2 linked regions of the Drosophila melanogaster genome follow. The protein of the gene in region 1 interacts with the protein of each later gene in a pairwise test. Each region holds a gene or a part of one and is shown on either strand. Other genes may lie near its edges. The genes, in order: Polr1D and Polr1C.

Region 1 (4,897 bases):
GAGATTTAGGTAACTTAGTTGAAGGATTCGCTATTCTAAGCCAACATCATAGACTTTAGGCTTATAATCCATGTAGCTTTAATAATCAATAATTAGAACTATTTTTCACACAATATGTGGAATATACAATACATATGTACATACATGTATCATGTATATGTACATACATATGACAACTAAATGATCTACGGTTTGTTATTATATCCTCCTAAAATATGGCTAAATTTCGATACCCGACACAACGAAGACCAAAAACAAGGAAACCCGAACAAAGGCGAAACAAGAGAAAAATGCATGTGAGGTTTTTGTTTGTTTTATGTCTCTCTGCCGGCGTCGCTGCTGCTGCGTCTGGGCAGCGATCACGCACACATAGAGAAGCACACAGAAGAAGGAGGGAGAGAGGAGGGGACTCAGCGCAGCTTCCTTTTGACTGGCTCTTCTTACAGAGGAAAAAATGATGTGGCTGTAAGTATCACTTGTTCCTATAGATCTTAAATGTGCAACCAAGTGATTGTGTGTTATTTAGTATTGGCATTGTTGTAAAATTTATTACATCACAAATTATCAAATAAATTTATTAATGCACTGATTAACAGTAATGGTACTAAACTCGAACCTATTAATCAAATATTGCACTTTTCGGCTTAAAAATTTGTCCTGTTGTGTAGTTACTTTACTTGGTTTTTATGTTGATTTTGGGAATTCTAAAAATGCTTGCAGCTTCATCCTTCTGCGTCTCTGTCTCCTTCTCTTCTCCTCGATTCCCCCCACCCCCTATTCGTGGCCCGCATCGAATGCAGCAGATGACAGGTTTTCGCTCTCCTCCGCCCCCTGCTTTGCTGTGCTCTCCGGCTTTATGGCGCTCCCCACCTCCTTCGTGACTCGCTGCACAGGATGTTGGAATATCACGTCGTCGTGTCCGTGTTCCCGTCTGTTCCTTGTTCTCGTGCTCTTCGTCTTCGTCTTGTGCCATTGCCACTTCACCTTTTTTGTCTGCATTCGAGCTAAAGGGGCTCCCCTTTAGCCCCTTCTTCACCTCAGCTACTCCTTCCACTTCCTTTCGCTCCAAAACTGTCTGTGTATTTTATTTTATTTCGTTTCGTTTGGCTTTCGATGTCTGCAGCATCCTTGGAACTTTCTGGCACAGTGGGCCCAACAAAAATATTGCATGCACCATTGATAAATATAGATAAATGATCGAAAGAACACACCATTGCTATGTTTACTGACAGAATTATTTTCAAAAACTCGTTAAGCATTTATTAATTTACCAATAGAATCGGTAAAAACCTTAGTACCATTATACATAGAATTTTTGTTTTAAAATTCAATTTATAACCTGTCCTTGTCAAGTCAGCACACTGTGTCTACATCGTGGACAGGTATTTTGTACCTCAAGTGGATTATTTGCAATATTCATGGCACAAGGTGGAATATACACCACCCTTGGGAGGACTTAAAATTTCGGGCTCCCCCTCTTTTATAATTTATTTTCACGTGCGCAGCTATACACAAAAAATACTTTTGTATTTTGAATTAATATAATTTTAAAATGGTCTACCGTACTGCATCCTTTTTCTATGCGTTTATTACTTTCTACTAGTTTTCGTTTATTATACGTTGAAAAGATATATTACACACGAGGTGGTGAATTGTTTACGAATCAGCTTCGCGAGTAAATGCTAGGGAAGTTATTTTCTCTATGTACAGGCCATAGATCGCTGTTGCTATGTACATATGTATGTATGAATGTATATATTAGGTTGTGTTTACATACATATTTACATGGGCCCTCTGGATCGTATTCCCAGAACCATTTCGCACTTCTCTTTTTCGTATTCTCCCTTTTTGCCACGATCGTGACGGTTATATGCAGTTCCTTTGTTGTAACCACTACAAAGCCAAAATAATTGCAAACTCAAAAGAAACCCATAAAAGCAAGAATAGAGTTAGCCCAGGAGAGAGAGCAGCCACTTTTTTCGGCCAGGAGAGAGCAGCTGCCTCGCTCTCACTCACACACGAGCCACAAAAACGCCGGCTCTCAATACATACATATATACATACTTAAACTGCAGGCCATGTAAAAACAAAAACAACAAGGCAAAAGGGCGCCCAGCATAATGGGGGAAACGAAATGGAAGAGGAACGCAGCCTAGACTAAATTGCAACAACTGCAAATTGGGGGGAACGCATGGCGCCAAACGAAACGTGAGACAGACTCGCGCGCACTGCCATACATACACGAAAAGTGATTATTACAACACAAGCGCTGCGGCGCGTGGGCGCGAGGAGGGGGAACGCATGAGATAACGGAACATGCTGCCGCATTAGTCACCACCAAAGCACAACAGATGTGTGTACATGTGTGTGTGTCAGCTACCACCGAACAAATGAGTGCAAAGGAGTTAGCAGGATGCCGAGAAGGAAGCGGAGAGAGGAATGGCAAGGGGCAGGGGAGAAGAGCATAGCAACCAGTGGAAACAAAATACAGTGAGTATTGGCTAAGAGCTATTGGGTATCTTTGCAATAAAGTGTTGCATACCCTAGGGAGAAAAATATTTATAAAAATCTTATTGGATTAAAAAACCATACATATTAACGAAATTAAATAAAAAATATTTTTAAAATTTTACTGGAAACTACGTAAGATCATATTTGATTGTATTCAACCTTTTGGTTATATGCATATAAATCGTAAAGTACATGTTAAGAAACCGAATACTGTTATTCTCGTAATTGGTAATTGAAGATGCAGACTGCGAACGTGAATGCAAAGTGCCAATTAGGAAATTTAACAATTTGGAAATAAAAGTCTACATTATTGGCAATAACTAACGAAAAGCAGAACAGGAGGCACAGTAACGAACAAGATAAAGCTTTAGTTGAGCCTCTGAACTGGTATTTTTTAGCCATCACTTCCGCCTTCGCGGGCAACAGCGTCGACGGCACGGCGGCAGAGGCAGCTGCCTGTTTGCAGCTGTGTGCGTGCACAAAAATAAAAGGGCGCATGAATTTGCATAATTTTCGGAACCAGATGGGGGGCGTGGCCGTCAACAAAATTGAAATGACAACTCGAGCTTTTCAATACCGCTTATTTATGTATGCGATGTTATTAATAAGCACATGGTGGGCATTAAACAAACCTGTATTGCAGTCAATTCCTGATGGAAACGGCGAAAAAGCATGTAAAATGAATTGCCGATTCGTCGTTGTATGCGTTTTTCCCGAGTGTCGGTGTTTTTGGAGCAACTTCACGTTGAATGCATTGCGCAAATAATTATGTTTGCCGTTGCAGTTTTTTTGTTTTTGTTTTCTTCGCTCCGCTTCGCCTCTCTGCTTCTTTCCTTGCCGCCTTTTCTGCTGATGCTTTCAAACAAACCAACACTCACACACGTATGCAGAAGGCGGCTTGCAATTATGCTAATGCGGCTGTTTGCGACACTTTTTCTTCTTTTTTTTGGCCGACACCGCACAAAACTGATTTCGCAGTTGGCCCAATAAAATTGGCCACAGAACAAAGCGAATTAAGAAGCAACACACACAATTCAATGCTCTGTCTGAAAACCGCGTCCGTGTCAGAACGCGTCAAGAACTGGAGCTGGTGGAGACATCGGCGCGCTATCGATACATCGATGACGTTACCACGGTATTTATGCATTTACTTAGAAGTAACTCATTTGATTTTCAAGAATTAAAGTCAATGTTGGTATGACACTTGGCACAAGCAAACAGTAGGAATGTTTCAGAAGACATACTCTTTTATACATACACAACTTAAATTTAACAGTTTTTTCGGGAAGATATGGCTAAGTTTTACTTAAATTCAAAATGGGATAGGCATCTCTAGTTTTTAGCTACATTGCATTCCAATTGGAATAAGCCGTCCTTAGCTACTTAAATCGATATGTTTCGATGACTCTAACATCGATTGCCGAGGCATGTGCCCTGCACGTTTTTTGTAAACAAACGAACGAGTATTTGAACAAACTGAAAATGGGAGCATTGGCAGAGGTAGACAATGCATTAAATATGCAATGTGAGTAATTAATTCTTAAATACTTTCCCCAGCTGGCTGGTGATGAGAAAAACGGCGAAGGATCTCGTACTTTTGTGTTCACCAACGAGGGCCACACGCTGGGAAATGCGCTGAAAACGATCATAGCCCGCTACCCGGAGGTGGATTTCTGTGGCTACACGATTCCGCATCCCACGGAGCAGAAGCTGCACTTCCGCATTCAATCCCGTCGAGACAGAGCCATAGATATACTTAAACGGGGACTGGAGGATCTGGAGGGTCTGTGTGATCATACAATCGTTACGTTCGAAAAGGAGATGGCCGAGTTTAATGCAATGAAAGTGGAAAATTAGATATATATGTATAAAGAATACTTAAAACTAAACCACGCTGCGCGCCTTCTTGGGATCGTAGTTGGGCTTGCGTAGATGATGATAGTTTGGCAGGACCTTGCGCAGGAAGTCGATCTGCAGGGTCTGCGATCCCTGCTTGTCGATGGCCTCGCGCTGCAGGCCCTGCTCTCCATAAACAATCGTGTTTTCGGGCAGGCGTTGACTACCATGGATCTTTATTCCAGCTCCCACCACACAACCGCTGGAAACAGTGACACCGGGGCCCACATAGCACTTGCTCTCGAAGACGTTCTTATCGCCAATCTTGGCCGCTTCCACTTGGCAGCCGACTTCAAAGACATTGTGAGTGCCAATGCTCAGGATATTGTTGACATCCCAAACGGCGCCCGGCTCCAAGCGGTGAGCTACGGTGGCATATTCCTCTATGATGCAATTCTCCCCAATTATTATGGGACCTGCGTCGGCGATAACGGTGGCACTCGGATGAACCACACAGCCCGACGAGAAGGTGATGTCACCGCGCAGGCTG
Region 2 (3,688 bases), about 14 Mb from region 1:
TGCCTGGTTGCCCGAGAAGCTGAAGTTGCTGGTGCGCACCGATGACTTGGTCGGAATGGAGGCGATAACGGTGCCGTACTCGACGTCCCAGATCTTAGCGGTCATATCACCGGCGCCGGTGATGAGCTTACGGCTCTCCCAGTCCACATCCAGGCACCAGACCGCACCCTGGTGACCATCGTAGGTGCCCAAACGTTCTCCGTTCAGCGAGTACCACACATTGGGCTTCTGATCCTTGGAGCAGGAGAAGAGCAGGTCGCCCTCGCGGTTGTACTTGATTTGCGTTATGGAACGCTCGTGGCCCTGAAGCATCAACGGACGCTATAAAAGACAGAATAATACGAATTTTTAGCAACAATTTAGGCCGCTTTTAAGGTTATGTTTGGTCCGGAATTTCACACGACTTTCACACTTTGCAAATAGTTGTAATTTCGGGTAAATTCTAAAGAAACCCATCCGGAATAATGCAAACTGTGTAGTCATTGACCAGGCACGCACCATTTTGTATTATATTGTTATTTGTTGCGAGAAAACGAATATTTTTGCAACAACATCCACGCAGCACTACACGCCAAAAGAGCAGTGTGACCGTGGCCTAGTCAAAATCTCACTTCGATATACCAGGGGGATCTAAAAAATACCGTTAATCAAGTTTATTTTGAACAACCAGAAATTTTTACAATCTAGAACTTAAGGTATAGCCAATATAAACGAAAATTTGGATTTAAAACTTGATATACATCAAGTAAAAACCATATTTTATGCCATACATTAAGTAAATACAACGAAACAACATTTGCCTAGCTTAGCCAGCCTAGCTGAACCATCCCTTTTTGTTCATTGAATTCCACTTGGCTATGTTCACCAAAATGGATGCCACACACTGGTCCTTGTCCCGATTTTGGCCGTAGTAATCGACAAACTCGCCATCGGGATTGACCAGGTACATGATGATGGTGTGATCCACAATATAATCGTTGTCCTCGTCCCGCGGTCCAGCGCTGAAATAAACCCTGAAGGCCTTGCACACTTTGCGGATTTGTTCGACGGTTCCCGTGAGTCCCAGCAGTTTGGGGGAGAACTCTTTTACGTATTTGGCCACCACCTCTTTGGAGTCACGTTCTGGGTCAACGGTGATAAAGATGGGCTGCACTGCTGGCGTTTGCGGGGACTTTTCTGTGAAGGTTTGAGAAACATGGTTTTTTTTGGGTTTGGAAGAAATAGTCAGGCTCTACTTACCAACTTCATCGACGACGGCGGCCATCTTCTCTAGCTCATCGGGACAAATATCCGGGCAGTGGGTGAAGCCAAAATAGATGAGCAGCCACTTGCCTAAGAAGTCCTCCGATTTGCGAACAGCTCCCTGCGAATCAACTAATTCCCAACTGCCGCCGATGGCTGCTTTTCCCAATTGCCGCTGACGCTCCTTCATTCTCGCCTCATCCTTCTCGCTCTTCACGTACAGCATGAAGCCCACTCCTCCGGCTCCAAGGGCTCCAATGACGGCCAGACTTCTCCAAGAGATCGGACCCTTGCCTTTAGTGGAATCTGCGGGAGCGGCATAATGACGAATTGCGGGCTGTTGTGCCCAGCGACGACAGCTGCCCACTAAGCGTTGCAGGGAGCGGGACATCTTACGCCCGGTTTCAGAAATTTGAAGGCTTTACGTAAATCTTCTGGAGAAATAAAAATATCGCCGGTGTCCTGCTGCTTCTTCCTATTCAGCCAGTCACGGCGAAACAGCATTTATTTAGTACATAAAGTATATTTATTTAGTATATTAGTTAGTTTGTTAGTTAGTTTGGTATATTTTGGTATTAGAAGGCGGTCTTATTGATTCCAACACGTGCGGTTCAATTTTGTTAAATTATTTAATAAAAACACCGGGGCAAATGGCAAGCAAAAATCGCAAGGAGCCGCTTCTGTACATGGAGGAGTATCGGGTGAAGCAGGATCCGCAGGACTATGGACTGGCGGACGATGTATTTTCCGTTCAGGCTTTCAAGGAAAAGCTGCACATCAAAATCGTCAGGTAAATCTCAATAGAAATTAGAATCTTACGAGTCGATTAACAATTGGTGTTCACTTCTAGAAACGACGAAGACGGCCTGGAGTTCGATCTGATTGGCGTGTATCCCGCCATTGCAAATGCCTTCCGTCGCCTGATGCTCAGCGATGTGCCCAGCATGGCCATCGAAAAGGTGTACATATACAACAACACCTCGATCATCCAGGACGAGGTACTTGCCCATCGAATGGGTCTACTTCCGTTGCGGGCTGATCCCCGTCTATTCGCATACCGCACCGAGGAAAGCACTGAGGCGGGGACCGAGCAGGATACGCTTGAATTTGAGCTGAAGGTGAAGTGCTCGCGGCGACGGGATGCTGGAAAAGATCAGTCCAACTTCGATGACATTTACAAAAACCACAAAGTGTACTCGGGTCATCTGAAGTGGCTGCCCAAAGGAAAGCAGGCGCAGATATACAGCGAGAGTGCTGTGAACTGCATTCACGATGACATACTGATTGCCCAATTGCGTCCGGGTCACGAGTTGGATCTGCGCCTGGTGGCGGTTAAGGGACTTGGACGGGATCACGCGAAATTCTCGCCGGTGGCCACGGCCACCTACCGACTGCTGCCCATGATTAAGCTGAACCGCGAGGTGACCGGTAAGGATGCGTACCTATTACAGAACTGTTTCTCACCAGGAGTAATTGGCATTGACGAGAATGAAACTGCCTATGTAAAGGATGCACGCTACGACACGTGCAGCCGAAATGTGTATCGCTATCCCCAGCTAAACGACGCTGTGACTTTGGCCCGTATCCGAGATCACTACATTTTCTCCGTGGAATCAGTCGGCGCACTGAAGCCCGATGTCATCTTCCTGGAGGCGGTCAAGGTATTGAAGAGAAAGTGCCGGGCGCTAATTGACGAAATTGAGGCAGAATAGTTATTTATTTAGTTGTTAAAGAAATTATATTATGTACATAAGACAGCTTGATATAAATTGTAAGCCTACGAAGATCGTGCTTGCTCTCTCTTGCGCTTGAGCACCTTCAGGCGAAATTCCGTTAGGACCACCTGCAGACGCTCCTGGCACATTAGTGCGTCCTCCAGGTCCATGTTGTTCAGCTGCAGAGCCAAACTCTTGCCAAACAAGTCAAATTCACTAATAATGGTGTCTTCCGTCATCGCGTCGACTTGGTATTCGTTATTAATCTCCGTATCTTCCGGCTTGAGCTGTATCATCTCTTCCTCGTAGACCACCTCTTGGTCCTGGAGATCTGTTTCATTCTGTTGTACTTCGAGGAACTCGTTCTCAACCTCAAATTCTTGCTCTTGATAGGGCTGATCTGTTCTGAGTAAATCATCCAGGATTGAGTCGTTCGAGGCGATTTCGTCCTCCTCCGTCTCCTCCTCCATGCTCTCCACCTTCGTGTCGTTCTTGATCTTTGGCTGCATTTTGCTCCTTGGCTTTTGCCTTGGATAGGTCTTTGATTTGGCTTTGGGCTTTGCTTTGGGTGAAATTATGGAGGCCTCCAAGTCTGGGTCATGCTCATCTTTGACAAGTTCACCCTTAATCATATTCTGTAGGTATAAATACGGAGTTGTTAATTTTATGTAAATTAGTAATGAGATGAGAATTTTTTTTTTGGAGCGATAAGTTGTGCATCGCATAGAGGG

Evidence for each region.
Region 2: the proteins of Polr1D (region 1) and Polr1C interact in a two-hybrid assay, tested with the Drosophila melanogaster proteins (2 studies listed by BioGRID).

Annotation. Positions count from the first base shown.
Region 1 is NT_033779.5:19,132,523-19,137,419, reverse strand, and holds Polr1D (RNA polymerase I and III subunit D), read left to right. Parts: upstream 1-2,186; 5' UTR 2,187-2,439; coding exon 2,440-2,490; intron 2,491-3,143; exon of another isoform or gene 3,144-3,598; coding exon 3,599-3,646; intron 3,647-3,936; exon of another isoform or gene 3,937-3,993; coding exon of another isoform or gene 3,994-4,011; intron 4,012-4,068; coding exon 4,069-4,368; 3' UTR 4,369-4,395; downstream 4,396-4,897. Other genes in the region: DCTN6-p27 (dynactin 6, p27 subunit), read right to left, coding at 4,396-4,897. UniProt on the Drosophila melanogaster protein: DNA-dependent RNA polymerase catalyzes the transcription of DNA into RNA using the four ribonucleoside triphosphates as substrates.
Region 2 is NT_033779.5:4,967,193-4,970,880, forward strand, and holds Polr1C (RNA polymerase I and III subunit C), read left to right. Parts: upstream 1-1,811; 5' UTR 1,812-1,892; coding exon 1,893-2,032; intron 2,033-2,092; coding exon 2,093-2,954; 3' UTR 2,955-3,019; downstream 3,020-3,688. Other genes in the region: eIF3i (eukaryotic translation initiation factor 3 subunit i), read right to left, coding at 1-321, 499-501; Scox (synthesis of cytochrome c oxidase), read right to left, coding at 815-1,176, 1,240-1,633; l(2)05714 (lethal (2) 05714), read right to left, coding at 3,020-3,592.